4 linked regions of the Callithrix jacchus genome follow. Each later gene encodes a partner of the first gene's protein in a complex. Links are inferred from orthologs where the notes say so. Each region holds a gene or a part of one and is shown in the gene's direction. Other genes may lie near its edges. The genes, in order: SHC1, NTRK1, ITGB3 and GRB2.

Region 1 (7,459 bases):
CCCTGTCACCCAGTTTTCCTGGAAGCCCCACCCCCAGACACGTTCCAAGCCCTTGTACGAGAAATCCTTCGTTATTCCTTCCATTCTCCGAAACTCCGCCTCCTAGCAAGGATCCTCCGCTAACTCCTGTCAAAAAGACTATCTCCCTAAAGGGCAAAACCCTGCTCCTCAAAGAACGAGATTCGAATTTGTTGAAGCCACGCCTATCCAGGGCCCCGCCCCTCTGAGACCACGCCCCTTCTGTAATCTACATCTGACTGTCCAGAAAGCCTCCCTGCTTAGAAGTCTAATGCTCTAGTCCTAGGGGACCACGCCCCCTTGGTAGTTTTATCTTTGTGGGACCTAGATCCTCAACTGAAAAGCCTTGATTTCAATCCCTGAAACTCCACCTGTTTATATTTCCCTGTCCTTTCTCTTTTTTGGGGGCCTTGGGATCAGTTTTCCGAGCACTCTTCTGCTCCCCCAAGTGGGAAGTCAAAATTCCCATCTCTGGCTGTGAGGCATAAGATTAAAGGCAGCCGTTTTCCTCTCTTTTTTTTTTTTTTTTTTTGAGACGGAGTTTCGCTCTTGTTGCCCAGGCTGGAGTGCAATGGTGCGATCTCGTCGCAACCTCTACCTCCCGGGTTCAAGTGATTCTCCTCCCTCAGCTTCCCGAGTAGCTAGGATTACAGGCACCCGACACCATGCTCGGCTAATTTTTGTATTTTTAGTAGAGACGGGCTTTCACCATGTTGGCCAAGCTAGTCTCGAACTCCTGATCCACCCGCCTTGGCCTCCTTAAGTGCTGGGATTACAGGCGTGAGCCACCGCGCCTGTTTTCCCCTTTCTTAACTTCCTCTAAGGGTAGAGCTATTTGAAGGGGCTGAACTTGGGGTTTGGCATGAGAGGGAGAGAGACTTGCTCTCAAGACTCCCAGCCTCACTTCCTGGCTTTCCCTTCCTAGGACCAACTCCACCCCAGAAATAGCTCTAGGCTTTACCTATACATCAGTGGATAGGACCATGGATTTGTTGGTGTGTGGCATGTGGGTGTGACAGGAGTGAAAGTTTTCTACTACCAGAAAAACGGTGGTTTGGAGTGGCAGTAGATAATATACTCTTTTTGTTTGATTTTTTTTTTAAGGGACAGTTCAGTCGCTACTTCTCTGTCTCTTCCCCTCCCCCTAATCAGAGATCTTTTCTGGGCATTCCTCCTGGTCCCGTGTGCCCAGCCTTCTCTGCTGGAAACATTCCTGAGGCTTTCGCCATTTCCTGCTACTTCCCGCTCCTCTCCCCTCCTCCCAGTTGGGCTGAGAAGCCACACACAGCTTTTCCCCTACACCCAATCACCTGGACTTCCAGTAGGCAATCTTCTTTCTCCCTATGCAAATTTAAAGAGTTATACTTCTTTCTTTTCTTCTAAACGCCCACACCCATCGGTCATTTTCTGGCTCTGGATACTGCAAGCTCCCACAGAATATCATCTCCACAGATGAGGACATCCTAGTGTGTGTTTGTGTGTTTTGGGGGTGTGAGGCTATGGTGGAATCCTTTCCTCATTCTCTCTATGCCTGAGAGATGGCTGGAAATGAAGTGATAAAATTCCTTCTCAGGATTAGCTGACAGAGTGACAAAGCTCTCCTGGAATGAGCACTAAGTGGAGATGTAAGAGTTAAGTGACCGGGCACGGTGGTACATGCCTGTAAACCCAGCACTTTGGGAGGCTGACAAGGGCAGATCACGAGGTCAGGAGCTCGAGACCATTCTGGCTAATGCGGTGAAACCCCATCCCTACTAAAAATACAAAAAATTAGCCTGGCGTGGTGGCATGGGCCTGTAGTCCCAGCTACTCAGGAGGCTGAGGCAGGAGAATTGATTGAGCCCGGGAGTTGGAGGTTGCAGTAAGCCAAGATCATGCCACTGCACTCCAGCCTGGGGGACAGATCGAAAAGCAAAACCCTGTCTCAAAAAAAAAAAAAAAAAAAAAAAAAAAAAGTTAAGCACAGTATCTAACACACTTTAAGTGTTAATGTTGTTAATCAGGATAATCATATTATATATATAAATCCACAAGTAAATCTAAGGGTAATTCCAAGGTGAGCTTGAGATGATATGTATCTTTTTTTTTGTTTGTTTTGGAGGTGGAGTTTCACTCTTGTCACCCAGGCTGGAGTGCAGTGGCTTGATCTCGGCTCACTGCAACTTCCACCTCCTGGGTTCAAGCAATTCTCCTGCCTCAGCCTCCAGAGCTGGGATTACAGGTACCTGCCACCATTTCCAGGTAATTTTTTGTATTTTTAGTAGAGACAGGGTTTCACCATGTTAACCAGGCTGGTCTCGAACTCCTGACTTCAGGTGATCCACCTGCCTCAGCCTCCCAAAGTGCTGGGATTACAGGCGTGAGCCACTGCACCTGGTGGGAATATGTATCTTTAACTTGTTTTTTTGGTCACTTTCCAGCTTTCCTATGGCATTCTCCAGAAGAGCAGTGGCAGGAAGCCGTGGGTGGCGGGAATGGGATTGGGACTGTTCCCTGTGCCAGCTTCAGCCCGTCTTCTCCTGACATCCCTTTGTCCTGTACTTATTTTTTCTCCTGTCCTTATTGACATGGATGCGTCTTCTGATCTCTCTGTCCTTTCCTGGCGTGTAGCTTCTATGTCTCTTGGAGAACTGTTTCTTCTTTCAGCCAGGCTCCTTCCCAGGTGTGAGGGACACTGTACTCTTTGGTGGGGCTTAGGGCCCTGTAAGAGCAGGGATATGAAGTGGGGTGGTTTGGAGTGGGTGTGGGGACCTGAGGCCTCATTCTCACCCTTGACAATGTACTGTGTTAAGCCTGTGGAAAGGGGAGACTGGATAGTGCTTGGCTGTGAGCCATAGCTCTTTGGTGTGGTAGATGCCGCGCATAGAGAACAAGCTGTGACCAGCATGTCCTCTTGTTCACTTCTTGCCTGGTAGCTTCCTGATGTACCATCCAGGTTGGACTTTATTCCCTGATTTTCACCAGCTTTGCTCTTCCTCTTGACCCTGCTCTGCATCCATTGGGACCACTTCCTTCCCATCCCCACTTCGCTAGCTCCAGTCCACAGCTGTTGTAGCAGAGGATGCTAATGGCCCAGGCTCACTGTATGTGGTAGTGGTGCGGGGTGGCCTGGGCTCGAGAATGGGGGAATTCTAGTGTTCAACCAGGACAGGAAGGGAAATGCTGAGCTCTGAGATCTCCTCCCTTTTCCACCCCCAGTTGCCTCCGTTTCCTCCCTCATTCCTCTCTACTCTCGCCTGGCTTCCTGGCCCCTTTGGTCTGCCTGTGTCCGGTTTCCAGTGACCCGCACCTCCTCTTATCTCCCTCCTTTCCGTCTTATTTCTCCATCCTCTCCTCCCACCCCCCACTTTACTCCTCCCCAGATTACTAGTTGTTTGTATAGGGCTGGGGAGAGTTCGAGGTTGGGGCAGGGTGGGGCTCAGCCCCTCTGAGCCTGTGAGTCAGCACTGTCCTCCGGATTGGTCTCTCTCCTTAGCTCCCCGCCCCCAGGGAGGAGCCAGGCAGCTCTGGGTCCAGCCTGTTCTCTTCTCAGCCAGAGAAGAGGCTCCACGTTGGGCGGGGATGGGGCCTGAAACTGTCTGGGTCTGAGCTGGGGAGCGGAACCCACTTGTCCCTCTCCCTCCCCAGGACTTCTGTGACTCCTGGGCCACAGAGGTCCGACCAGGCTAAGGGCCTGGGGATACCCTCTGCCTGGCCCCCTTGCCCAAACTGGCAGGGGGGCCAGGCCGGGCAGCAGCCCCTTTCTCACCTCAGCTATGGATCTCCTGCCCCCTAAGCCCAAGTACAATCCACTCCGGAATGAGTCTCTGTCATCGCTGGAGGAGGGGGCTTCAGGGTCCACCCCCCCGGAGGAGCTGCCTTCCCCATCAGCCTCATCCCTGGGACCCATCCTGCCTCCTCTGCCTGGGGACGATAGTCCCACTACCCTGTGCTCCTTCTTCCCGCGGATGAGCAACCTGAGGCTCGCCAATCCGGCTGGGGGGCGCCCCGGGCCTAAGGGGGAGCCAGGAAGGGCAGCCGATGATGGGGAGGGGATCGTAGGGGCAGCCATGCCAGACTCAGGCCCCCTACCCCTCCTCCAGGACATGAACAAGCTGAGTGGAGGCGGCGGGCGCAGGACTCGGGTGGAAGGGGGCCAGCTGGGGGGCGAGGAGTGGACCCGCCACGGGAGCTTTGTCAATAAGCCCACACGGGGCTGGCTGCATCCCAACGACAAAGTCATGGGACCCGGGGTTTGCTACTTGGTTCGGGTGAGTGAACATTCTCTCTTCCACTCCCTCCCAGCCCCCGCCCCCCCCCCCCCCCCAGTTCTGCTCACTCCAGCTTGGCTGGAATCTCTTTTCTCCTGCTGTTCTACAACCCCGTTTCAGTGTCCTATTTCCTAAACCTTTCCCATCCCTTCCCTGATTCTGTAGTCCCTTCCCTTCCAGCTCTGCCTGAGCCCCCTTCCTTCTTTTGACTCCCCCACCCCCACCTCTACCCTGCCATGCTTAGCACAATGCCCAGCATGGCAGAAGCTCTTAGTAAGTGTTGGAATGAGTGACTTATTGATCCTCCCCTCCATTCTCCTCCTGCTTTCTGGAGTTGTCACTCCATCCCAGCCAATGCCTGTCGGTCCCCTCCAAACTCTCTCCCCAGTGCGAGGTCCTTCTTTCTAGCCTGCCTTTCTTTCTCTCCTCATTCCCTGTTGTCTTTCACCTTGATTGTGGGATGTAGCCACGGGAAGTGGGCAGAACCTCTCCATCTCTACTTCCCTTAAGGACCATGTGGGCAAAGTCCTAGGGCCCTTTGTGAAGGGGCTGGGGTGGGGGAGCTGCTGACCTGCTGTCCTCCCCTCCTTCCGCTTAGTACATGGGCTGTGTGGAGGTCCTGCAGTCAATGCGTGCCCTGGACTTCAACACCCGGACTCAGGTCACCAGGTTAGTGGGGAGGGAGTGGATTGGGGGAGTCCCGGGGTTAGTGAGGCCACAGGAAAGGGAGGAGGGGAGTGGTCACTTGAGTGCTGCTGGTGGGGGCTGATCTTTGGGTAGTGGAGGGGATTGAGAGAAAGCTGGTGGTAATTCTGTATCTTACTGAAAGGAGGCCCCTCTGGCCTGGATCCTCCTTACCTATCCATCCTTGGGAGTTGTGGGGAAGGTGGCAGAAGCAGCTGGCAGGTAGAGCTGGAGTAGAAAATGGGGGTAGATGGAAGGTTGCTGCTGCCTTTGGGAAGGGAATGGGACATTTGGTAGCTGGAAGTGGGTGGGTCTGTACCCATTGAGGCCCTAACCCAATCAGCCAGGAAGCGGCCTCTCAGTGTCATCAAATATTAAAGGCCCTTAATTCAATCCACCACGACAAAGAGCCTGGAGTGCCCTGGGAGTCTGGCCTGGCTTTCCCCTCCCCCAGCCCTGTGGCAGCCCCAGCTGAGTGGGAAGCAGGCAGGCACTGGGTCTGAGTACCCCTCTTTCCCCAGGGAGGCCATCAGTCTGGTGTGTGAGGCTGTGCCGGGTGCTAAGGGGGCGACAAGGAGGAGAAAGGTATCTGGGGTCCTTGGGGATAGGGATGCAGCTGGGAGATGTGAGGGGCAGGGGGAAGGCAAGTGTGGGGCATGTGGGGGAAGGCCAGAAGGCAAGAGTGTGGTTTGCCGGAGCTGGGAACCCTCACCTTCTGAGACCCTGGGCCCTACCTTAGCCCTGTAGCCGCCCGCTCAGCTCTATCCTGGGAAGGAGTAACCTGAAATTTGCTGGGATGCCAATCACTCTCACCATCTCCACCAGCAGCCTCAACCTCATGGCCGCAGACTGCAAGCAGGTTGGTGGAGTTGGGCAGGGGGACTAGAAACACTGGTGGGGGTGCTAAGGGGAGATCTAGTTAGGAGGCCAAAAACTAGGAAGAGGGCTTGAGAGCAAGAGACCAGTAGGGACGGAGGAAGTGAGGATATGGGATAAGGAACCCAGAGAATGAAACTGGGTGTGAGGGTTCTGGGCCCTGAGGCGCCTGACGCATGGCATTCCCTTCCTTCTTCATCCCCTGCCCTGATTCTCAGATCATCGCCAACCACCACATGCAATCTATCTCATTTGCATCCGGCGGGGATCCGGTGAGTTGGGGAACAGAGCAAAGGTGGCGGGAGAAGAGCAAGGGGCTAGGGATTGGGAAGACATTTATTAGAGAAGTGGGGGTGCTAGGATTGTGGGGATATCTGAAAAGGACGGGGTTTTAGGGGTTAGGAGTAAAGTGGAGCTGTAACATTTTCTGACCTTCCTCCCCAGGACACAGCCGAGTATGTCGCCTATGTTGCCAAAGACCCTGTGAATCAGAGAGGTGAGGCATGGTGGGGAGCACTGGGTGGGTCCGGCTGTTTGAGGAGATGAGCGGGACCTGGGGTCTGCACCCGCTTTTGCTAAGTAGAGCTAAGTAGGGGTTCCTGCTGAGGAAGATGAGGGCCCTGTCTATGCCTCCTCCCAGTGGGCTCAGCTCAATGACCGCCTCTGCTGTGCCCTCAGCCTGCCACATTCTGGAGTGTCCTGAAGGGCTTGCCCAGGATGTCATCAGCACCATTGGTCAGGCCTTCGAGTTGCGCTTCAAACAATACCTCAGGAACCCACCCAAACTGGTCACCCCCCATGACAGGTGAGCAGGTGGGGAGGATGTGCAGCAGCTCTTAAGCCCCAGAACAGGATTGGGAAAGGAGGGCTGCTCTTCCTACACTTGAGCTGAGAGGCTTAGGGAGGGAATAACCTGCGTGCCTCTGCTTCCCCCTTCCTGTGATTCTTCCATTTCCTGTGGCCCACAAGGAAAGACTCTTGAGGCCCTGCTTGCTGCAGGGCCAGCTTTTCCTCCTGTTGCTCATGGTGGAGCTGCAGTCTGAGGCATCCAAGTTACATCTCTCTCTCTGGCTAGATGAGATTTTTCTACTCCCATCCCTCTTGCTTGCCCATTTCTCTGACACTCTGTATTTTAATGCTTCCAGAAGCCATCAAGAATTTGGGTTTGTGAGGATATCTCTTTTCCCTGAGATTAGTGTTTCCCACCTCTGGCCGTGAGGGATAAGCAGTGGCGCCAGGAGGGACTGATTAGGAGAGGTTAAACTATTCTGTAGTGCCTTCTCCCCACCTCACTACATAATGCTTCCCTTCCTTGCTGGCAGATAGCACAGTGATCAAGGGCAAGAGCATTACTTTTTTATTTTGAGACAGAATCTTGCTGTGTTGCCCAAGCTGGAGTTCAGTGGTGTAATCACACAACTCACTGCAGCCTCCATATCCTGGGCTGAGTGATTCTCCCACCTCAGCCTCCTGAGTAGCTGGGACTACAGGTGCATGCCACCACACCTGGCTAAGTATTATTATTTTTTTGGTAGAGGCAGTCTCACTACGTTGCCCTGTCTGGTCTTGAACTCCTAGGCTCAAACAACCTCCCTCCTTGGCCTCCCAAAGTGTTGGGATTACAGGTATGA
Region 2 (7,359 bases), about 1.9 Mb from region 1:
TGGGCGGTTCTCCTGAGAGCTAACCGCAGCCTCCATGGTCCAGTGCAGAGTAAGTGGATGTTCCGTGGCTGCAAGCCCAGATGTCTGGCTTCCCAGTTGGCTGGGAGAGAGGTAGGGGTCTGGGAGCCAGTTCTGGGGACTCACCCTCTAGTGCATCCAGGCCAAGTCCCAAGGAGAGGACGATCGCAGGCAGGCATGCTCCCCAGGGCCACAGACCAGGTACTGCCATTGTCCCAGTCCTGGCTTGTGTCCAGTCCCAGCTCTTCTGGTGGCTCTGGGGAGAAGAGTTTGACAAGCCCTAAGGGACACAGAGACCAGGGTTCAGATAGGAGACGGAGGGGGCAGGGGCAGAGGCAAGGAATCCCACACAGCAGGAGACAGAAAACAAGAAATGAGAGTCACAGAGACACAAAGATAGTGACAGGCAAGTGGAGACAGAGATGGGGACAGAGATGCAGACAGTGACGGGTGGAGTCTCGGGCCTCCAGAGGCAGAAAATGACACAGGGTTCTGAGCAAAAGGCAAGCCAAGAGGCCGGCCAACCCTGAGGGCGGAGCAGAAGGCTGGGGACGCTCCCAAGAAGGGCAGCATGAGACTCCACAGGGAGAGTCTCCCTGGATCCTTCTGGGCCCGCGGCCCCCCAGCGCTGGCTGACCGCGCTGGCTGCGGTCTCTCCCAGGGCGGGCACGCAGGGGCCGCGCCCAGCCCGCGCCCAACTCCTGCCCTCCCTGCCCCCCGCCGAAACAGATTGGTTCACAGGGATCTCTCAGTTCTCTCCGCCCCTCCCCCGCCAAGCCAAAATATTTAGCCTGACAACTGAGGGGAGAAGAGATCTGTTGGGGAAATAAGGCCAAAATACAGGGGAGGGTGGGTCAAGAACTGAGCGTCCCCAAACTCCGCTGTGGCTGCGACGGGTCCCCCCAACCCCTTAGCCACACCGCAGGCTTCTTCCAAGTGGGCTGCACGGCCGGAGGGGCAGCCAGCGCCCGGGCTTCTGGGGAGCGCTGTGTCTAGATTCTGCTCCCCGGTGCCTTGACATCTGCGGGGTAACTTCTGGCAGCCTCGACCCGGGAGAACCTGGACAGCCCATGGCCTCTCGGAGCCTCTCTCAGCCTCCGAGGAGGCCGCCTTGTCCTCTTTGGAGACCCCTTAGTGCCAGGCTCCCTCACTGACTAGTACCTTGATTCTGACCAAGATCCCGATCAAGAGGGCGATCACTGTGTGGGGCTCTGCCTCCCTCTAGTCACTTTCTTGAGCTCAGGCTTCTCGGTCAGTCTGTGTGTCCCTGTCTCGGGAACTTGGGGGGCCGTCCGTGCTGGGGTCTTGGCAGAGAGGAGAACCGTGACCCTCTAGGAGGCTGTCCTTCGCTTGCTCCCTGGGGCCTTACCTGTCCCCCCGCCAAGAGAGACCCCTCTCCCCCTCTCTCTCCACAGCTTGAGACGGATGGGCTCCGGCAGCCACAGAGGCTGGCGCGGTGGGAGGGGTTAGGACCAGCCTTCTGCTGCCCTGGGTGCTGGAGATCCCGGGACTTTCCAGGTGCGCGGCCTCCAGGGGCGGACGGGTCCTCAGTTCCACACGGGGGCGGCTCCCGCGTCGGAGGAGCTAAGAGAAGATCTATTAATTTCTTCACGAATAAATCGATGCTCTTGTCAGGGAGGCGATCCATGTCGGCCCTGTCCTGCCCCGGGGCCAGCGCTGACTGGCCGGGGTCAGGGACTGAAGCTGGGACCCGAAACGTTGCGCATTGGGGGCTGCAGATCGCGCCCCCAGCCACCGGCCCGGGCGGGGAGCTTGTACCTTTGCGCGCGGGCTTCTCGCGCCACCCTGTGGCCTCTCTTGGAGGCGCGGTCTTGGCTCACTCGACTCCCTTCGGCCGAATTAGGCGACCCCTTCCCTTTCTCTGGCCGGTCAGTGTCTTCCTCCCAGCTTCTGCAATTGATCCTTTTATAATCCTTTTCCTTTTCTTCCCAGAGTTCGGAGTGTTCTACCTAACTTACTCCAGGTGACATGCGCACTTCCCCAGGCACTCGCTCCGTGAGGATGGAGCGCCGAGGCTGGGGCTGGCTAGGTTGACCTGGACGGCAACCTTCACTAACTCAGTCATCTCCCCGCCTCCCCAAATGTAAAAATGCAGCTGCTTTAAGCTGGGAGAAATAACGTATCAATTTCCCACTCCCAGCCTCAGCAGACACCTCCCAGCCGTTCTGCAGCAGCCCCTCCGCATCTCCCGGAGCTGGGGGCATCCTCGGGGAGAAGGTTGACCCTGGGGGCCCCTAACAGCGGAGGGGACGGAGTTGGGGGCGTCAGAGGGGAGGAAAGGGGGTGGAGACAAGGGGCGGGGCGGGGACGGGCGGGGGCCTCTGGCTCCGCCCTTTCCTGGCGGCTGGGTCTTTAACACCGCCCGGCGCACATGTCGGGGGAGGCCCGGCAGCTGCAGCTGCGAGCGCACAGACGGCTGCCCCGCCAGAGCTAGGCGGGCACCGCCGCGATGCTGCGAGGCGGACGGCGTGGGCAGCTCGGCTGGCACAGCTGGGCTGCGGGGCCAGGCAGCCTGCTGGCTTGGCTGATGCTGGCATCTGCAGGCGCCGCACCCTGCCCCGATGCCTGCTGCCCCCACGGTCCCTCGGGACTGCGATGCACCCGGGATGGGGCCCTGGATAGCCTCCACCACCTGCCCGGCGCAGAGAACCTGACTGAGCTGTGAGTGTTCGGCGGGCGAGGGGGCTCGGGGACAGGCAGGCATTGCCGTGCCCCGAGGGCGCTAACTCGCCACTTGTTTGCTGGGTCAGGCAAGGCCATCACAGTGGAGGGCTGGCACCACGCAGTCTTCGGCGGTGCCCGGGCGTTCCTCCGCAGCCGCCGCTGCCCTAGCAAGCTTTATGGTGACAGCCTGGATGTTTCCTAGTGTTCAGGGCAGCTGGGCAGCCGGCTTCAGGGAGATCGAGTGGGGAATCTCCGTGGACCAGGTCTGAAAGAGCCCAGTCGTCTAGAAGCCACACTTTCTGGAGCTCAGCCAGGAGCCCCTGCCCTGTCCCACTAGAGAAGCGTGGTGCGGAGAAGTCCCCAGTTTGACACCCTTACTGCCAGCCCCCACCCATTTCCTTGTTATGATGAGGCAACCCCAGCTTTTCTCCTGGAATTGGGGATTGAGCTGACATTGGTGGGAGGTGGTGAGGAGCGTAGCTGGGTGGTTGAGCTCTCCTTTTTGCATTTTTACCATTCCTTGTCCCAGGACCCCTTGATTTGGATCTGGGAAATGGGACCCCCTCCTGGATTTTCTCTCCCCACTCCCATCTCCCTCTCCGACCGGGACTCTCTACCTGGGGTAGGGAGTCAGGGTCCTTGCTGAGAGACCCTCCTCCCTCTGGGGCACAAAACTGGGAGGAAGCTTCAGCATTCTGCAGGATTCTGACATTCTGCAGGAATTGGTTACAAAATACTCAAGTACTTTTTAGCAGCGGGTGAAACCTATGGTAGCATGCGGTAATGATTGGCCTGGAGGTACTCAGGCATTACATGGTGATGGCTGGAAAATATTTGAGTATTACATACGACCATCGTGGCCAGTGAGACGTCTAGAAGAGGGGAGGAACTGCTAGAAAATTCTCCTCCTGTGGCCTGGGGTTTAAAAGGTGGACAAGGAACCCTAGCCTAGTGCAGTGAGGGACTGGAAGGTATCCGAGGTGGAGCCCATCACTGTCTGGAAGGTACCCGAGGTGGAGCCCATCACTGTCTGGAAGTTTCTTGAGCACCTCGAAATAATTGGCACTGAGTTACTCGGGTTATCTCATGGTAATTAACGGGAAGGTACTCAATTTCCCGAATGGCTCTAGGGAGACCAGGAGTAGAGGAGATGGCTTAGTCTTGGTCTGGCTTAGGTCTCTGCATGATGGGAGGGGGCATGAGATACGGCCTGCCAGTCCTAGTGCAGTTCTCATCACCCTGGGCCTTCAGACTGGGGTCCAGACTCCTGAGTGCTCCCCATCAGGGCTCACATTTCCCAACTCCTTCTAAACCCCAAGTGGGTCTGGCAGGGTAGGGATGGGAGTGGTAGGGGGAGTGGACAGGTCAGGGCTGGGGACTAAGTGGCGGGCAGTCTGCAGGCATGAGCTGAGATGTCCCCCTGGGTGGGGCTGCAGCCTGACACCCCCTCCCCACTGCCTCCACAGACCCCTCCCTCCTCCCTCACCCGCAGAGCTAACGAGCAGATAATGGACTCGAATAGACAGATTGATTATGAATCCAAACGAATGAGGCAGCTTTGGGGCAGCTTTGAGCAACCTGGCCTGACAGCTCGCACACACCCTGCCAGCCCACCGCATTCTCACCCCCTCCCTGGGTCCCTCCAGCTTGAAACCCTCTGGGCAGGGGCTGGGGGTGGGTAGAATAGAGAGATATGCCCTCCCTCAGAGTCAGTGGAGGTTACTTTCTAGGCCTCCACTGAGTCCATGGGGAGACTTAGGACCTGACCCTGCTGTCCTGCTGGGGCCAAGGCTGGGAAGGGAGGAAAGGAGGAAGGGAGTTTCACTCAGGCTGGTCCTGGTTCCTACAAGTTAGGGAAAGTTAGAGGGTAGAGGGAGAGAGTTCTCAGAACTGGCAGTGAGTCAGGGGCCCCTGGCGTGTATTGTTGGGGTGGGGGGGCACACTAACATGCCACTGCAGGGCAGCCGAGTTCTGAGGAGCTCCCTGGTACGTCAGATCCAGCAGCCAGGCAGGGCCCGGGGCGTCAGCTGTCCCCCAGCTCCGAATGCCTGCTCTTCCTCTTTCTTTCTTGTCTCCCTGTCTTGCTTTCGGTGCCTCTCTGTCCTTATCTCTCTGTCTCTCTGTCTCCCTTCTCTCATCTGTCTTCTTTCTTGCCTGGCGCTATCTCTCTGACAGTCTCTTCCTGTCAGTTTCCCTTTCAGTGTCTCTGTTTCACTCTCTCTCTGTTTTTCTGCCCTTCTGCCCCCACGCTCCTCATTAAGCCTCGCCATCTTTCTCTCTCTCTTTTGCTGTGGGAGTCAGCCAGTCTGTGTCGTTCCCCCCACCCCAACACTGACTGCATCCTCTCATCCAGGAAGAGGACTGTCCCTCTCCTCTTCCTGGGTCCCTTCTCGGGGTCTCTGACGGATAGCCTCTAAGCCTCTTGCTTGATCTGCTGAAAAGATGGTGGGGGAGGTTTGGGTGGAGTAGGGGGTGCTCAGGTGTGGAGATGGGTCAGAGGCTATGGGGGTGCAGAGATGCTAGTGTGTGTGTGTGTGTGTGTGTGTGTGTATAGCAGTACAGGTGAGTCTGGGCATGTTTGGGAACACACATTTGCATGAGCACAGGCTTCGTCTGTGCTGGGTGGGGCAGTGGCAGGACGCGCCTCAGCCCTTTGTGGAAGCAAGTGTTTCAGCATGACCTCCCATTGGTGAGTGTGTGCCAGGGACGTCTGATGTAAAAGCAGAACACCGACCTGAGAATGGGCTTGTGTGTGTGCACGTGGGAGATGTATGCCAGCTTTGTTTCTGTGTGTCCCTGTGTGAGCGTGTTCATGCAGCACACGTTCATGTGTGCATGTGCATGAGTGTCATCTGTGCAGATGCTTACGCCTCTGTATGTGCGCATGTGCACACCTGGCTGGGTGTGTGTGTGCAAGAGGTATGTGAGAGTGCATATGTGTGAGGGTGTGGGGAATCCATGCATGTGTGTGCGCATGTGTGTTCATGGACACATGTGCACGTGTGACTTGAGGAGGTGCATCTCTATGCACATGTATGCATTTGTGTGTGCATGCCCGTGTAAGTGTGTATGCAGGTCTGAACAGGTGCACATGTGTGTGCCTGTGAGGTGCATGTGTATTGTGAGGGAGGCAGGCGGGTGGGCATGAGAACTCAAGTATGGGCCTGAGCCCTGTGACTCTTATTCCTTCTCCCCACAGCTACATTGAGAACCAGCAGCATCTGCAGCATCTGGAGCTCCGTGACCTGAGGGGCCTGGGGGAGCTGAGAAACCTGTGAGGGAAATGGGGGCTGTGGGTGTGGAGCTCAGCATGGGCCCAGGAAGGGGTACCAGAAAGTCGGGGATGGCTCAAGGATCCGAGGGCCTGGGAGGACTTGAGGGGCTGAGGACTGAGGGACTGGGAGAGGTCAGGAAGCTCAGGGCTTTGAGGGGTCTCGGGTAGTTGAGGAAACAATGAGGGGCCTGGGGAGGGGGAGGAGCTCAGCATGGGGGACTGGAGGGCTGGGGTAGCAGGGAGAGCCAGGGACCCAGAAGAGCTGAGACCTGGGGACTGATCCTCCCGCACCCCTCCCCAGCACCATCGTGAAGAGTGGTCTCCGTTTCGTGGCGCCAGATGCCTTCCATTTCACTCCTCGGCTCAGTCGCCTGTGAGTGGCCAGTGCTGGATAGTGGGGGTGGGGGAGGACACCCAGACTTGGGCTGCTAATGGGCTTGGCTGTCCCCAGGGAATGATTATGAGGAGGGCCCAAGCCTTATCAGGGAAGTCACCTCACCCATTCTCCTGGGGCTTCCTTCCACCTCCCGCAGGGATGGCATGCTCTCACCCTGCCAGCTAGAGGTCCTTCTTGCCGTCTCACTTCCATGCTTCATGCTTCATGCTGCAAGGACACTTCCCATAGGTGCCTGCCCTCTCTCTCTTCCCAGGGTTCAGACACGCAGCAGTGCAAAGGGAGCAAGCGGCAGGAGCAGAACTCCTGGGTTCTGGCTGGGACTCCATTTCCCACCCCCTCCGTGGTGGGAACGCATTGACTTGGCCCCTAGGACGGCCTGGGAGCTGGGGTGTTAGGTCTGTCACTATCACCCTCCTCATTCCTGGGGATCATAGCTATCCCTCCTGTAGAGCAGAGGACCCCAAACTTTTTGGCACCAGAGACTGGTTTCATGGAAGACAATTTGACCACGGATGGTGTGGGAGGGGAAGATGATTTCAGGATGAAACTGTCCCGCCTCAGATTATGAGGCAGTACTTAGAATCTCAAAAGGAGCGCACAACCTGGGTCCCCCGCAGGCGCAGTAGCTCACAGTATGGTTTGCTTTTATGAGACTCTAATGCTGCTGTTGATGGACAGGAGGCGGGGCTCCATCGGTAATGCGCACTTACCACTGCTCACCTCCCACTACTCAGTGGCCTCCTAACAGACCACATATTACCCTGTTTATAGCCCCTCTTCCTTGCTGACTTTTTCTTTATTTTTTTATTTTTATTTTTATTTTTGAGATGGAGTTTCGCTCTTGTTACCCAGGCTGGAGTGCAGTGGTGTGATCTCTGCTCACCGCAACCTCCGACCTCCGCCTCCTGGGTTCAGGCAATTCTCCTGCCTCAGCCTCCTGAGTAGCTGGGATTACAGGCACGCACCACCATGCCCAGCTAATTTT
Region 3 (6,875 bases), on another chromosome or scaffold:
CAGGCTGGTCTTGAACTTCTGACTTCAAGTGATCTGCCTACCTTGGCCTCTCAAAGTGCTGGGATTCCAGGTGTGAGCCACTGCACCTGGCCAAGCGTCCTGTATTTTTGTTTGCTGAATCTGCCAACCCTACCCAGACTTCTCTGACCTTAGGTCATTTGCCATTGGTCTACTGCTGTGGCTGGAAAGACCTTCCAGAGGTCACCTGATCTGGCCTTCTGCTTCTAGGAAGCCTGCCCCAAACTCCTCTCCAGATACATGGTTAACAAATTGTTTTCCCCTGAAGACCTTCTGGCACCCTACCTGTCCTGCCCATACTAATATGTAGAATTGAAGAGATTTTACTTTGAGAATTGAGGGTCAGCCCTATCCAAGTCTTCCAGAGAATCCATAATTGTTTTTCCCAGAAGAACTGGGGCCCTTCACTCCTGGGAACTTGGACACTGGAACCTCACAGTTTCTCTCCAGGCACTCATTTAATTATAGACATGTTGTAATTTGGCAGGTTGGGAGACAGCCAGCTTGGGTTGTGGTGGTGGTTGTTTTTGTGTTGTATGTGGTGAGCATTGGGTGTATGTTTAGAGAGGAAGGTGGAAGACAGTGTGGAAAGTGGGTGTGACTTCCTCTCCAGGCTCATCAGCACCCTCATATATAAACAGCTGGTTTCATAACACTTGAGGTTACTGGAGTAAGATCACCTATTAGATACCTGACATTTATGGGAAGTAGAGCTCTGCAGAGTATACTCAGTCTGACCCCCAGAGGGATGACATGCCTCTGTGGTAGTTGTTGACTGGGGTTGAACAGGAAGTCAGCTTTCAATAGGGTTATGATTTTAGATGACTAATATTTTGGGAAAGAACTCAAAATATTGTCTTGGCTGGCAGATCCTGGTCTCTAAGAATGCAAAAAATGTCATTAGGTTCATAGCCTTCAGGAATGTAAATATATGAACCAGGATAACAGAAACAAATACTTGCAGGGGCTAAGGAAGCAAATAAGTTAGTGAAAACAGCTGGGTATAAGAAGATCACTTACAATGGTAGCTGATATTTACTGAACACTTTTGCTGTGCCAGGCATTGTTCTGAGTTTTTAGGATATATTTAATTTAATTATTCCTCATAACACGTTTCTTTTGAAGTCAGTGCTATTACTATCTTCATTTTAAAGATGGAGAAACAGGAAACAGACATTCAGAAAGGTTAAGTAATTTTCCAAATATCATGTAGCAAAGTTAAGTCACAAGTCAGGATTCAAACCCAGGGAGTCTCACTCTAATGTCCGCAGGAGCACAGACACACCAAGTCACACTGCCTTCCTTTAGGAAAGAGACGAGAGAGTGGTAGGGATTCTGGTGAACTAGAAAACATGCATTCTAACTAAAAGGAGCAGCTCCTCTTCAGCTCTAGCTAGCTGCTGCCCTGCAGGAATATAGGTACCAATGTTTCTAGCTCTTTGGACTTACCTTCTTTCTTTCTTTCTTTTTCTTTTTCTTTTTTTTTCTCTCTACCTCCCCCTCTCTCTCTTTCTGTCTTCCTTCCCCCACTTCTTTCTTCCTTTTTTTGAGATAGGGTCTCCCTCTGTCATCGAGGCTGGAGAGCAGTGGCATGAACTCCCAGGCCTTGACCTCCTAGGCTCAAACGATTCTCCCACCTCAGCCTCCTGAGTAGCTGGAACTACAGGCATATGCCACCATGTGTGGCTAAGTAAAAAAAATTGTAGCAGCAGGGTCTCACTATGTTGCCCAGGCTGGTCTTGAACTTCTAGACTTAAATTATCCTCCTGCCTCAGCCTCCCAAATGCTGGCATTATAGGCGTGAGCCACTGTGCCTGGCCTGGATTTTCTTTTTAAAGAGAATAATATAAATTTTAGGGGGAGAATCTCCTGATTATTCAGTATTGCCAATAAAATCAATTTTTATTTTTTATTTTATTTCTTTTTTTGAGATGGAGTTTTAGTCTGTTACCCACGCTAGAGTGCAATGGCACGATCTTGGCTCACTGCAACCTCCACCTCCCAAGTCCAAGTGATTCTTGTGCCTCTGCCTCTCAAGTAGCTGGGATTACAGGTTTATGCCACCACACCCGGCTAATTTTTGTAGTTTTAGTAGAGACAGAGTTTTACCATGTTGGCCAGGTTGGTCTCGAACTCCTGACCTCAGGTGCTCTGCCCACTTTGGCCTCCCAAAGTGCTGGGATTACAGGTGTGAGATACTGCACCCAGCCAACTTTTTATTTTTTAATTTTTAAAAAATGTTTCTTTAGCTATAGAGGTACATGTGTGGGTTTGTTCTGTAGATAAGTTGTGAGTCATGGGGTCTGGTGTACATATTATTTCATCACCCAGGTAATAAGCATAGTACCTGATAGGTAGTTTTTTGATCCTCACCCTCCTCCCACCCTCTACCTTCGAGTAGGTCCCAGTGTCTGTTGTTCCCTTCTTTCTGTCTAATTTTTAAAAGAAACACTTGGGTGAACCCCCACACAAAGGTATGGCTGGGTTCTGTCTAGAGATTACCAGGTCTAGGCTTCTGATTTGAGCCACTCAGGACAGATTATTGCTGTCCTAAAGATTGTCCGTTTAAAAAATTAATTTTTGAAAACTGTCCTATTTCCATCAAGGACTTTAATTACTTTGTCAAGAACACTTTATTCACAGCCAGTTCAAGTGACTCCTGCTTCATTCACAATTACCCTGCTCTGTGCTTCTTCCTGACAGAGTGTCCCAAGGGCCCTGACATCCTAGTTGTCCTGCTCTCAGTGATGGGGGCCATTCTGCTCATCGGCCTTGCTGCTCTGCTCATCTGGAAGCTCCTCATCACTATCCACGACCGAAAAGAGTTTGCTAAATTTGAGGAAGAACGTGCCAGGGCAAAATGGGACACAGTAAGAGGCTGGGCTGGGCGTCTTCTAAAAAGTCATTGGTCTGAGACTCTTCAGTGGAAGGAGCAGATGCTTTGGGTGGTCAGGTTCAGCCAGTGCCATCTGTTATCCTCTGTTCTAGAAACTGGGAGAGATGGTTTCACTGTCCCCTTGTCCTTCGGCTTCCTAAAAACCTACCATACAGTCACTAGGAGCCACGTCAGGTAGTACTGACCAAACACAGACAGGACCCAGCTTTGCCCTGACCCTGAAGGAATGAGAAAGAAACATATTCTCCAACTGAGGAAGACAAGACAACCCTACACTGAGAACACATAATGTATTATATGCTAATGATGCCCAAAGCCTTAAACACAAATAGGAAAAAATATGATCACTAACATTTCCTGAGGATTCGGCATATGCCTGGAACTGTTCTGAATGCCATTTATGTATTAACTTATTTCATTCCTCTAACAACATTACGTGGTGGGCAATATTATTATTCCCATTTTGTAGGTAAAGAAACTGAGTGCAGAGAAGTTAAGAACTTTGCCTGATTCTGGGAGGGAATTAGGTTACTATAGGGATACTTTTTGGGTAGCCTCTTAGAGATAGAGGCAGGATGTCATTCCACCTCATTCTTTTCTTTTTCCTCAAATAAATTGTTACTTCAAGGCTGGGTGTGGTGGCTCACACCTGTAATTCCAGCACTTTTGGGGGCCAAGGTGGGCAACATGGCAAAACTCCATCTCTATGGATGGAGTTAGCCAGGCATGGTGGCGCACGCCTATAATCCCAGCTGTTTGGGAGGCTGAAGCAGGAGAATCACTTGAACCTGGTAGATGGAGGTTGCAGTGAGCCAAGATTGTACCGTGCTCTGGATGACAGAGAAGGACTCTGTCTCAAAAAAAAAAAAAAAAAAAAAAAAAAAGTTTGCTTCCAAATCAGACTCTACTCTTTTATTCTTATTTTATTTAATTAAACAAGCATTTACTGAGAACATTCTATATACTTAATCCTACTGTATTCCCTTTTGACTCTTTTTTCACATTTCAACTTTTTTCCTGGACCCTCCAAATGGCCATTTGACTCCCCTAATGTCCAGGGTTAGGATTAGGCTGCAAGTTTGTTCCCATTTGATGGTGACCCCAGAGTTTTGTACTCAAGGGTCCCGTGAAACTGAAATGTTTCTGTTAGAACAGTGTGGAACATCCTGTACCTGTGAGTCCCACAAAAATGTGTTTCATGAAGCTACCATTAAGGACTTCTAGACCTTATGGGATTTGTTACCTTTTTTTTTTTTTTGAGACGGTGTCTTGCTCTGTTGCCAGACTGAAGTGCAATGGCACGATCTCAGCTCACTGCAACCTCTGCCTCCCAGGTCCTGGTTCAAGAAATTCTCCTGCCTCAGCCTTCCAAGCAGCCAGGACCACAGGCCTGCACCACCATGCCCAGCTAATTTTTGTATTTTTAGTAGGGACCGGCTTTCACCATGTTGGTCAGGATGGTCTCAATCTCCTGACCTTGTGATCCACCTGCCTCTTTTGGAAAATATTTTGGGAAACCTAGCGAGGGTCTTACTTTTTCCTGGTCACATGACAGTTTTGTGGATAATGCTTCCCCCTCCCATCTCCTCCCCTCCCCTCCCCTCCCCTCCCCTCCCCTCTCCTCCCCTCCCCTCTCTTCCCCTCCCCTCTCCTCCCCTCCCCTCTCTTCCCCTCCCCTCTACTCCCCTCCCCTCTCCTCCCCTCCCCTCTCCTCTCCTCCCCTCTTCTTCCCTCCCCTCTCTTCCCCTCCTCTCCCTCCCTTCCTTTACTTTCTCTTCCCTCCTTCCTTCTTTTTTTGAGACAGGGTCTCACTCTGTCACTCAGGTTGGAATGCAGTGGTGCCATCACAGCTCACTGCAGCCTTGATATCCTGGGCTCACTTCCCTACCTCACTTCCCGAGTAGCCAGGACTATAGGCACACACCACCACAGCCAGCTAATTTTTGTATTTTTTTCCCATGTAGAGACAGGGTCTCACTCTGTTACCCAGGCTGGTCTCGAACTCCTGGGCCCAAGTGATCTTCCTACTTTGGCCACTCAAAGTGCTGGGATTACAGGCATAAGCCACCATGCCCAACCTTGGTTAGTGCTTGGCAGGATTAGATGAAAACAATTTAAAAATTATCTGAGCAAAAGCTGTCCTCTGTGTTCTGAACTCCACCTGCTACACTTCTGTCCCTGTCTACATCTCCCATCACTGTCAAAGGGAATGGAAAAAGGGAGAAGGGCAAAAGAGATGGGGACAAGGGTGAAACAGGAGAGGTTCTGCTCTGGAATGCTGTGGGATCACTGAAGAGTAATAGGCTGAATTTAGCTCCTTAGAAATAGTAGTGGCGAACAGGTGTGGTGGCTCACACCTGTAATCCCAGCACTTTGGGAAGCTGAGGCAGGTGGATCGCTTGAGCTCAGGAGTTTGAGACCAGCTTGGGCAACATGACAAAACCCTTCCGTACCCCATCTCTACAAAAAATGCAAAATTAGCCAGGCATGGTGGTGTGTGCCTGTAGTCCCAGCCACTTGGGAGGCTGAGGTGGGAGGATGTCTTGAGCTCGGGAGGTGGAGGTTGCAGTGAGCTGAGATTGTGCCACTGCATTCCAACCTGGGCAACAGAATGAGATCCTATCTAAAAAAATAAATAAATAAGAAATAAGAAACAGTGGCAGGATGGCATTCTACCTCATCTCCTCCTGTTATTTCCTATCAATTTTCGTGCCAAGAACTAAAGTGTGAGTAAAACGAACATTTTTCTGTTTCATTAATGGTGTATTCTAGAGAAGGTTGCCTTGGGAAAACTTATCAGATGAATTTGGGTTAGGGAAGGACTGAAGAATTCACCGTAAGACGCTTTTCTGTTTCCTCCACAGGCCAATAACCCACTGTATAAAGAGGCCACATCTACCTTCACCAATATCACCTACCGGGGCACTTAATGTTAAGCAGTCATCCTCAGATCATTATCAGCCTGTGCCAGGATTGCAGGAGTCTCTGCCATCATGTTTACAGAGGACAGTATTTGTGGGGAGGGATTTGGGGCTCAGAGTGTGGTGGGCTGGGAGAATGTCGGTATGTGGAAGTGTGGGTCTGTGTGTGTGTGTTGCATGTGGATATGTGTAATTTAAAATTGTGATGTGTTATGATAAGCTGAGCTCCTTAGCCTTTGTCCCCAGGATGCCTCCTGCAGGAATTCTTCCTGTTTAGCTTGAGGGTGACTGTGGAGCTGAGCAGGTGTTCATCATTACCTCAGTGAGGAGCCAGCTTTCCTCATCAGGCCATTGTCCCTGAAGAGAAGGGCAGGACTGAGGCCTCTCATTCCAGAGGAAGGGACACCAAGCCTTGGCTCTACCCTGAGTTCATAAGTTTATGGTTCTCGGGCCTGACTCTCAGCAGCTATGGTAGGAACTGCTGGGCTTGGCAGCCCGGGTCATCTGTACCTCTGCCTCCTTTCCCCTCCCTCAGGCTGAAGGAGGAGTTGGGGAGAGCTGAACTATCAGAGCTGCCTGTGCCTTTCGCCATCCCTTTAATCCAGCTATGGTTCAAGTCCTTTCAGCCTAATTCTTTGACCTGTTGGGAGTGAGGATGGCAGGGCCACTCAGGGGTCATTCATGGCCTGGGGGATGTATCAGCATCTCCCAGTACATAATCACAACCCTCCAGATTTGCCCTATTGGCAGCTCTACCCTGGAGGTTTGTTTACAAGAAGTGTGTCACCCTTATGCCAGCACCATCTCTTTACCTCCTAATTCCACACGTCACTGCTGTAGACATTTGCTGTAAGCTGATGATGTCTCTCATGATCAAATGCTTTTCCTTTAAGGGAGAAAGTGCTGTTGTAGAGCCAGGGGTCCGGCCTTACTCTTCTGGCCTTTTTTCCCTTGTCCATGGCACCTCTACAAAACCAGCCCTGTGCCTCTGTGTGCTGTATCCATCCATGGGGCTGATTGCATTTTCCTACTACCTCTTG
Region 4 (7,452 bases), on another chromosome or scaffold:
CTTCTCTGAATCTCATATTCTGTATGGTAAATGCGCACACTGCCTGTCAATAAATTTTTATGCATTTTCTCCTGTTAATCTATTGCCAGTTTATTTCAGCAGACTCAAACTGTCTGAGGGGAAGGGAAAAATTCCCTTCACCTCTACAATCATCTCCTCACCTGCCCTTCCCTGTTCTTTGTGCCCGCCCCCTTCAGTCAGCTACACCTCTTGACTGGCAAATTTCTGTGTTCTCCCAGGCCCACTCAAAACAAAAAACTGCAACTCTTCCCTCACGTCTTCCTCTCTGCTTAGCAGCCAAGTCCTTCCCTTTCATTTCTATTCTTTTTCTGCCTGCTATTTTAGAACGAAGTGGCATAGTGGGGGGAAAATGTGGATTTTGGAACAAGACAGGCCTTAGTCCAAATCTTAGGTCTACTATATTTTGGTTTCCTTATGTAAATTACTAACCTCTCTAAGGTTTAGTTTCCAAGTCTGTAAAATGGAGATATTATCCACCCTGTGGAGGCGCTATGACTTAAGTATGCATCAAGTGGTAAATAGAGGGTCCTTTTGTTATTTTTCACCTCACATCAGATATCTCCTGTTCAGAAACCTTCAGAGGTTGCCCATCACTTGACTATGACACCTAAGCCATGCATTTTGCATTTTGGCCTTCTCTCTAATTACTCTTGCCCCCAATTTCTAGGCTCTGACTAATCAAAAACATTGGCTGATGGCTGAGAGTGGTGGCTCACACCTGTAATCTCAGCACTTTGGAAGGCTGATCACCTGAGGTCAGGAGTTTGAGACCAGCTTGGTCAACATGGCAAAACCTCACCTGTACTAAAAATACAAAAATTAGCCAAGTATGGTGGCAGGCACCTGTAATCTCAGCTACTTGGGAGGCTGAGGTGGGAGAATCTCTCTTTTTTTTTTAGAGACAGTCTCGCTATGTTGCCTAGGCTGGAGTGCAGTGGCTATTCACAGGTGCCATCCCACTACTGATCAGCATGGGAGTTTTGACCTGCTCCGTTTCCCACCTGGGCTGGTTCACCCCTCCTTAGGCAAACTCCCGCTCCCGGGAGATCACCATATTGATGCCGAACTTAGTGCGGACACTCGACTCGCATAGTGCACTACAGCCCAGAACTCCTGGGCTCAAGAGGGGAGAATCTCTTGAGTCCAGCAGTCGGAGGTTGCAGTGAGCCGAGATCATGCCACTGCATCTCTAGCCTGGGCAACAGTGCAAGACTCTGTCCCCCCCCCAAAAAAGAAATTGGCAGATTTTTTTCCCTCTTTTCTCTCTGCTGTCACTTTGCCATTCAAACCAAGTCCTTCTTGATTAGCTCAGCACTAAGTACTGGATCCCTCCTCAGCCATCCCTATGTGTAGTTCAGTGGCACTTGGGGTCAACTGCTTGTCTTACAGACTAGGAAACTAGATTACAAAGCACTGAAAGCAGAGGCTTTATCTGGTTGGTCATTTATCCTGCAAAGCCCCTTGCATACAGGTGATGCTCAATAAAAACTTGGTGAAAGAACATTTCAACATTTCATTTTCTGTGTTTCTTTCTTTCTTTTTTGAGACGGAGTTTCGCTCTTGTTACCCAGGCTGGAGTGTAATGGCACGATCTCGGCTCAAGGCAACCTCTGTCTCCTGGGTTCAGGCAATTCTCCTGCCTCAGCCTCCTGAGTAGCTGGGATTACAGGCATGCACCACCATGCCCAGCTAATTTTTTGTATTTTTAGTAGAGACAGGGTTTCACCATGTTGACCAGGATGGTCTCGATCTCTTGACCTCATGATCCACCCGCCTCGGCCTCCCAAAGTGCCGGGATTACAGGCTTGAGCCACCGTGCCCGGCTCATTTTCTGTGTTTCAATGGGCTTGTTTCCTCTGTACAATCAGATGCTTGGTTATTCTCATCTCAACGCTATTTTTTTGGCTTCCAGAAGACACATTAACACTAGGTGTGTTCTGTTCTATCCTTTAATTGGAAAGAGCTTTGATAACTGAAAAACAAGAATTATTTACCGAAGCCTCATCTTCTGCCACTCCCCCATACTCACCGGCCTCATACAGGAATTGAACTACTTAGCACTGCACAGCACACGACTTTCACGCCTCCGTTCCGCTGTACTTAGCCTCTGTACTTACGTGCCATTCCCTTTCCCTGAAATGCCCTTACTCTGGCTTCTCTGCCTGGCAAACTCCTACTCATCCCCCAAGACTCAGCTTAGACATCGCCGCATCACCTCTGTAAAGGCTCTTTTGCAATGGGCAGAGTAGCCATTCTTCTTCCATCTTTTTAGCTTTCTCAGCAAACTCCAAATAACAGTACTTATGGCATTATTTGTTTATTTTTCTCTGCTTCCCTAGACCGTAAATTCCTTAAGGACCAGGATTTCTGTTCTATATCCAGCACAGTGTTCAGCCTATATTAGGCACATAATTAAATAAATGAGTAAACAAACCCACCAATCATTCAACATTGCAGAGTTTGTACGGATTCTCAAATATTTCAAGACCTGGTCTTCTGTTTGGAGTGCTTCAGGCTGGAAACTCTCTTCCTCCCCCCAGCCCCCATCCATATCCAATTGCCTTGGTTTGGTAGAGGAGAAAAGAAAGTGATTAGACGGGGTAAGAATTTATTCCTTCAGGACTAAGCTGTTATTTACCCGCTCTGGTACCGAGAGGGTTACGGCGACCCAGGGGCGGAGCCGTGACGAGGCCACCTGCTGCGGGCGGTCTGGCGCATGCGCCCTGGGGCCTAGCTAGTCACTACCTGCCGGAGCCCGGCCCAGGAGGAGCGCTTGCGCTTTGGGCGTTTTCCGCCGGGGGAAGTCTCGCGGGGGCGGGGCGGGGCGGGGCCTCGTGGAGAAGTTCTCGCGGGACACCCACGGCGAGCGGAAGCGAGGCGGCTCTGCTGCTTCGGCGACCGGGCGGCGGCGGCGGCGGCGGCGGCGGCTGTGGCTGAGGCTGTGTCTGTGTCTGTTTCTGTGTCTGTGACCGTGACGGCGGCGGGAGCAAGCGCCGCCCTCGCGGAGCAGCCTCGGGGTCGGCGGCCGCTCTCAGCGTTGAGGTGGGTCAGGCCCGACGCGGAGCGGACTAGCTGCGCCACGGTGAGTGCGGGCGGCTGCGCTCGGCGCCGCTCCTGTGTCTCTTCCTCTCCGCTCTGCGACGGGAGTGGGCCCTGGGGGAACCGGGACCCCGGCCCTTGGGGTCGGGTCGGGGCGGCGAAGCTCGGGACGCGGAGTGGAATGCCCAAGGCTCTGGACTCTGCGTTTCCCCTTTTGGGGCGCTTCCTTCCTGGGGAACGTCCTCCTCCGGCTCTCGGCTGTCTGTGCAGTGTCCGGGAGCCCGGGGGTAGAAGTCGGGGCTCCCTCGTGAAGTCCCCTGCCTTCGTCGGAAGGGTTTGCACGAAAGGGGCCTGGGAAGCCCGGAAGGGCAAAACCCCGACTGAGTCAGTCCGCCCGATCCCGGCGGCGGGGGACTTGGTGTGGGCTGCAGCTGTGGTGATTGATGCGCCTCCGACCTGCATGACAACCACGTCACCATCTCTTGGCGTCTTTGGGCTTAATTTTGTGCGGGAATCCACGGTGGGGTAGAACGTTCATCTCCCCGGGGGAGATGTCTTTATTCTGAGACTTAAAAAAAAATTATTTGAAAAATTAAGCAGCAGCAGGTTGGACTGCACCGAGGAAACATTGCGGCGAGAGCGGGCGCTGGTAATTTTCATTTGCAGCGCGCCCTCTCTGTGATTGTAAACCACATATGAGTTATGGCTTGTTTGGAAAGTTTTTCAAGCCTGGCTTCAAAGGCTATGAAAGTGCAGTTTGCAGAGGACTGAAGTGCATTTGAGGTGTGTCTCTTCTTGATGCTGTTGACTTTCAGAAATGTCAGACACATGAGAGAAATCAGCATTAGTCCCTGGCTTTCTTAACCCCTCTTTCACTCAGTACTTCTCCAGTTATTTCCTTACCTCTCTATCTACTTCTGTCCATTCCACTAGGGACAAGAAGTGCTTGTGTAATGCAAGTCATTTGCCCCTTCCTTCCCCCACCCCCCTCTTTTTTTTTTCTAATCTACTTCCCCTTCCTCCTTGGTAGTCCCCACTCTGGCGTAATTTTTCGAGGTTTCTTCCCTTTCGCACTGTTAGTTTTCTCTGATTTCAAGATTCCGTCCTTTTTCTCGGGAAGAGATCCTCTTTCCTGCTTTGGTGCCTTTACTTTTGCGCTTTCCCCTGCGTTCGCTAGTCAGCCAGAAGGGTTGCTAGAGAGCCATTGGAGGCTGAGGTTCCCCCGCTGAGAAGGGGGTGGGGGGCTCAAAAGATTGAATTCAGCCGGGTGCGGTGGCTCCCGCCTGTAATCCCAGCACTTTGTCAAGAGATCCAGACCATCCTGGCCAACATGGTGAAATCCCGCCTGTACTAAAAATAAAAAAATTACCTGGGTGTGGTGGCGCGCGCCTGTAGTCCCAGCTACTCGAGGCTGAGGCAGAAAAATCGCTTCAACCCGGGAGACGGAGATTGCAGTGAGCTCAGATCGCACCACTGCACTTCAGCCTGGCGACAGAGCGAGACTCCGTCTCAAAAAAAAGATTGAATTAATCCCTAAGAATTCAGTCCTGCCACTAGGTTACAAGTGTGGTTTGTTTGTTGTTTTGTGTTTTAGTTTTTTAAGATTATGCTTTTGTACCTATTTATGCTTTCTTCCAGTATGTCTTTATAATAGTAAGGAATATTGGGTCAGCTCAGGGCTTATGTGACTTTTTGACTTTTAGTGGGGGGTGTTAATGTTAAAAAGTGAAGGTCAACTATAAGTCTATATTAGGTTAAAATAGTCTGAAAAATGTAAGAGGCTAGAACTGATTTAGACCATCGAATTAGTTGAAGCCTGCGCGTTGTAGTAGTACTAATTTATTCTTTGTTAGGCTTTTAGTTAAAAATCAGGGATCTTTTTTCTGCATCTATTATAACTGGCCTTCGTTGTTGTTTTTGACAAAGAAATCTCTATTTGCTCCTTCCCAAGTTCAAAATGTTCCCAATCTCAAGATTTAAAAGAGTTAATTCTTATGATCAGCTATCTCCTAGTATGTATGTATGTATGTATGTATTTATTTATTTATCTATCTGAGACGAGTCTCACTCTTGCACAGGCTGGAGTGAGTGGTGCTGAGGATCTCGGTTCACTGCAGCCTCCACCTCCTGGGTTCAAGCACTCTTGTGCCTCACCTTCCCAAGTAGCTAGGATTACAGGCTCTCACCACCACACCTGGCTAATTTTTGTATTTGGTGGAGACGGGGTTTCACCATGTTGGCCGCGCTGGTCTCGAACTCCTAACCTCAAGTGATCTGCCTGCCTCAGCCTCCCTAAGTACTGAAATTACAGGTGTGAGCTCCTGTGCGGAGCCTAAACTCAGACATTTAAATGTTTGAGGCACTTAACTTGTCAGCAAGTTATTCCGATTTGAGAGGTTTGCTGGGTTTTAAGTACTACCAGTTGCTGGTACTTAGAGATTCTTTTCAGTAATTCCTGTTATGTTGCATATTGTGCATTGGAGTTCTAATTGTTGCATAGAACAGAAGAGCAAAGGATTTTGGAGAAAGGAAGTAATACAGAATAGAGTCACCATGCTCTCCTGAGAGAAATTAATTCTTAACTGCTTAATTCAGAGGAAGTCTCCGCCATTACCAAGTGGCTTTTGAGAGTGTATTTTTGTGTGTGTGTCAAAGTTGCCTTTTTCCCAGTTGTGCCAAGTGAATATACGTTATTTTCATTTCATGCAAGGACGTTGTAGTGCATTATCTGGAATGCAAATTTTAAAATCTGGTTAAGGCATCCTTATGGTACAGCAGTGATTGAAAATTCAGTATGCATAAAAATCACTGGGGGATCTTTTTAAAATTAGGTTCTGGTAGAACTCCAGGATGTTTCCCTTAGTGAATCAGTCTCTGAATGGAGGGATTTTGATACAGATGGTCTAAGGATCAAAACTGTTGTTAACAAATGCAGCCATAAATAATAAGACTGCTGTGTAGCTTTAAATTATTAAACTTAAAATTACATTTTTTGTGTATACACAAAGTCAGTATTTAGAATAGCCTAATGGAATAAGTGACTATAGGCATGATTCGTTTTTTGAGATGGAGTTTCTCGCTCTTGTAGTCCAGGCTGGAGTGCACTGGTGTGATCTCAGCTCACTGCAACTGACTCCTGGGTTCAAGCCATTCTCCTGTCTCAGGCTCCTGAGTAACTGGGATTACAGGCACCTGTCACCATGGCTGGCTAATTTTTTGTATTTTTAGTGGAGATGGGGTTTTGCCATGTTGGGCAGGCTGGTCTCAAACTTCTGACCTCAGGTGATCTGCTTGTCTTGAAGTGCTGGGATTATAGGCATGAGCCATTGCGCCTCTCCGATTTGTTTTTACATGTGAAAATTTTTTAGCATTCTTAGTACTGTGACGGGGAGTGAATTAACTGGAAGTTTATACTTAATAGGATCATTAATTGCCTACCAGAGAATTTTTCTGAGTCTGTAGACTCAGACTAGACTTTAGATTTTTTAACTCGTGAAGGCAACAGCACTCAGTAAAAACTGTACTTACACATACAACTGTTTTGTTTTTCACTCTTAGTACAATTGTAAATTATAGGAGAGATTTATCACTTGATTATAAAATGGTCTTTGTCTTAGGCGATTTTGCTCAACTGTAGGCTAATGTGTTTGGAGCACATTTAGGGTAAGGTAGGGTAGGCTGAGCTATGGTGTTTGGTAGGTTAGGTGTATTAAAATGCATTTTCACTGGGCAAGGTGCCTCACGCCCATAATCCCAGCACTTTGGGAGGCCGAGGCGGGTGGATCACGATGTCAAGAGATCGAGACCATCCTGGTCAACATGGTGAAACCCCGTCTCTACTAAAAATACAAAAAATTAGCTGGGCATGGTGGCGGGTGCCTGTAATCCCAGCTACTCAGGAGGCTGAGGCAGGAGAATTGCTTGAACCCAGGAGGCGGAGGTTACAGTGAGCCGAGATCGTGCCATTGCACTCCTGCCTGGGTAATGGGTGAAACTCCATCTCAAAAAAAAAAAAAAAAAAATTAGCTGGGCTTGGTGGTGTGTACCTGTAATCCCAGCTACTTGAAAGGCAGCGGTTGCAGTGAGCTGAGATCTTGCCATTGAACTCCAATTTAGGCAACAAGAGCAAAACTTCGTCTTTAGGATCACCAGATCAAGAGATCAAGACCATCCTGATCAACATGGTGAAACCCCGTCTCTACTAAAAATACAAAAAATTAGCTGGGCATGGTGGCGCGTGCCTGTAATCCCAGTTACTCAGGAGGCTGAGGCAGGAGAATTGCCTGAACCCAGGAGGCGGAGGTTGTGGTGAGCCGATATCGCGCCATTGCACTCCAGCCTGGGTAACAAGAGCGAAACTCGTCTCAAAAAAAAAAAAAAAATACATTTTTG

The links.
Region 2: the proteins of SHC1 (region 1) and NTRK1 are in contact, whole or in part, in an NMR structure (PDB 1SHC), measured with the Homo sapiens proteins. The link is inferred for Callithrix jacchus from reciprocal best matches to the Homo sapiens genes SHC1 and NTRK1. Residues at the interface, in NP_892113.4 of Homo sapiens: Met176, Arg177, Ala178, Leu179, Ser259, Ile260, Ser261, Phe262, Ala263, Ser264, Gly265, Gly266, Lys279, Asn283, Arg285, Ile301, Ile304, Gly305, Phe308, Glu309, Phe312, Lys313, Gln314, Tyr315; in NP_002520.2 of Homo sapiens: His489, Ile490, Ile491, Glu492, Asn493, Pro494, Gln495, Tyr496, Phe497.
Region 3: the proteins of SHC1 (region 1) and ITGB3 are in contact, whole or in part, in an NMR structure (PDB 2L1C), measured with the Homo sapiens proteins. The link is inferred for Callithrix jacchus from reciprocal best matches to the Homo sapiens genes SHC1 and ITGB3. Residues at the interface, in NP_892113.4 of Homo sapiens: Ser175, Met176, Arg177, Asn182, Arg184, Thr185, Gln186, Thr188, Arg189, Glu190, Ser193, Leu194, Arg208, Arg209, Lys210, Arg214, Pro215, Leu216, Ser217, Ile219, Met257, Gln258, Ser259, Ile260, Ser261, Phe262, Ala263, Ser264, Gly265, Pro268; in NP_000203.2 of Homo sapiens: Trp765, Asp766, Thr767, Ala768, Pro771, Leu772, Tyr773, Lys774, Glu775, Ala776, Thr777, Ser778, Thr779, Phe780, Thr781, Asn782, Ile783, Thr784, Tyr785, Arg786, Gly787, Thr788.
Region 4: the proteins of SHC1 (region 1) and GRB2 are in contact, whole or in part, in an NMR structure (PDB 1QG1), measured with the Homo sapiens proteins. The link is inferred for Callithrix jacchus from reciprocal best matches to the Homo sapiens genes SHC1 and GRB2. Residues at the interface, in NP_892113.4 of Homo sapiens: Asp423, Asp424, Pro425, Ser426, Tyr427, Val428, Asn429, Val430; in NP_002077.1 of Homo sapiens: Arg67, Glu71, Arg86, Ser88, Ser90, Asp94, Ser96, Gln106, His107, Phe108, Lys109, Leu120, Trp121.

What each region holds. Positions count from the first base shown.
Region 1 is NC_133519.1:15,381,902-15,389,360, reverse strand, and holds the start of SHC1 (SHC-transforming protein 1), read left to right. Parts: upstream 1-3,552; 5' UTR 3,553-3,773; coding exon 3,774-4,268; intron 4,269-4,866; coding exon 4,867-4,937; intron 4,938-5,473; coding exon 5,474-5,537; intron 5,538-5,691; coding exon 5,692-5,811; intron 5,812-6,046; coding exon 6,047-6,100; intron 6,101-6,272; coding exon 6,273-6,324; intron 6,325-6,506; coding exon 6,507-6,633; intron 6,634-7,168; exon of another isoform or gene 7,169-7,459. UniProt on the Homo sapiens protein: Signaling adapter that couples activated growth factor receptors to signaling pathways. Participates in a signaling cascade initiated by activated KIT and KITLG/SCF.
Region 2 is NC_133519.1:17,257,749-17,265,107, forward strand, and holds the start of NTRK1 (high affinity nerve growth factor receptor), read left to right. Parts: upstream 1-2,417; 5' UTR 2,418-2,488; coding exon 2,489-2,700; intron 2,701-5,902; coding exon 5,903-5,977; intron 5,978-6,278; coding exon 6,279-6,350; intron 6,351-7,359. Other genes in the region: INSRR (insulin receptor-related protein), read right to left, coding at 145-229. UniProt on the Homo sapiens protein: Receptor tyrosine kinase involved in the development and the maturation of the central and peripheral nervous systems through regulation of proliferation, differentiation and survival of sympathetic and nervous neurons.
Region 3 is NC_133506.1:87,184,461-87,191,335, forward strand, and holds part of ITGB3 (integrin beta-3), read left to right. Parts: intron 1-2,721; coding exon 2,722-2,888; intron 2,889-5,778; coding exon 5,779-5,844; 3' UTR 5,845-6,875. UniProt on the Homo sapiens protein: Integrin alpha-V/beta-3 (ITGAV:ITGB3) is a receptor for cytotactin, fibronectin, laminin, matrix metalloproteinase-2, osteopontin, osteomodulin, prothrombin, thrombospondin, vitronectin and von Willebrand factor.
Region 4 is NC_133506.1:131,302,031-131,309,482, reverse strand, and holds the start of GRB2 (growth factor receptor-bound protein 2), read left to right. Parts: upstream 1-2,889; 5' UTR 2,890-3,103; intron 3,104-7,452. UniProt on the Homo sapiens protein: Non-enzymatic adapter protein that plays a pivotal role in precisely regulated signaling cascades from cell surface receptors to cellular responses, including signaling transduction and gene expression.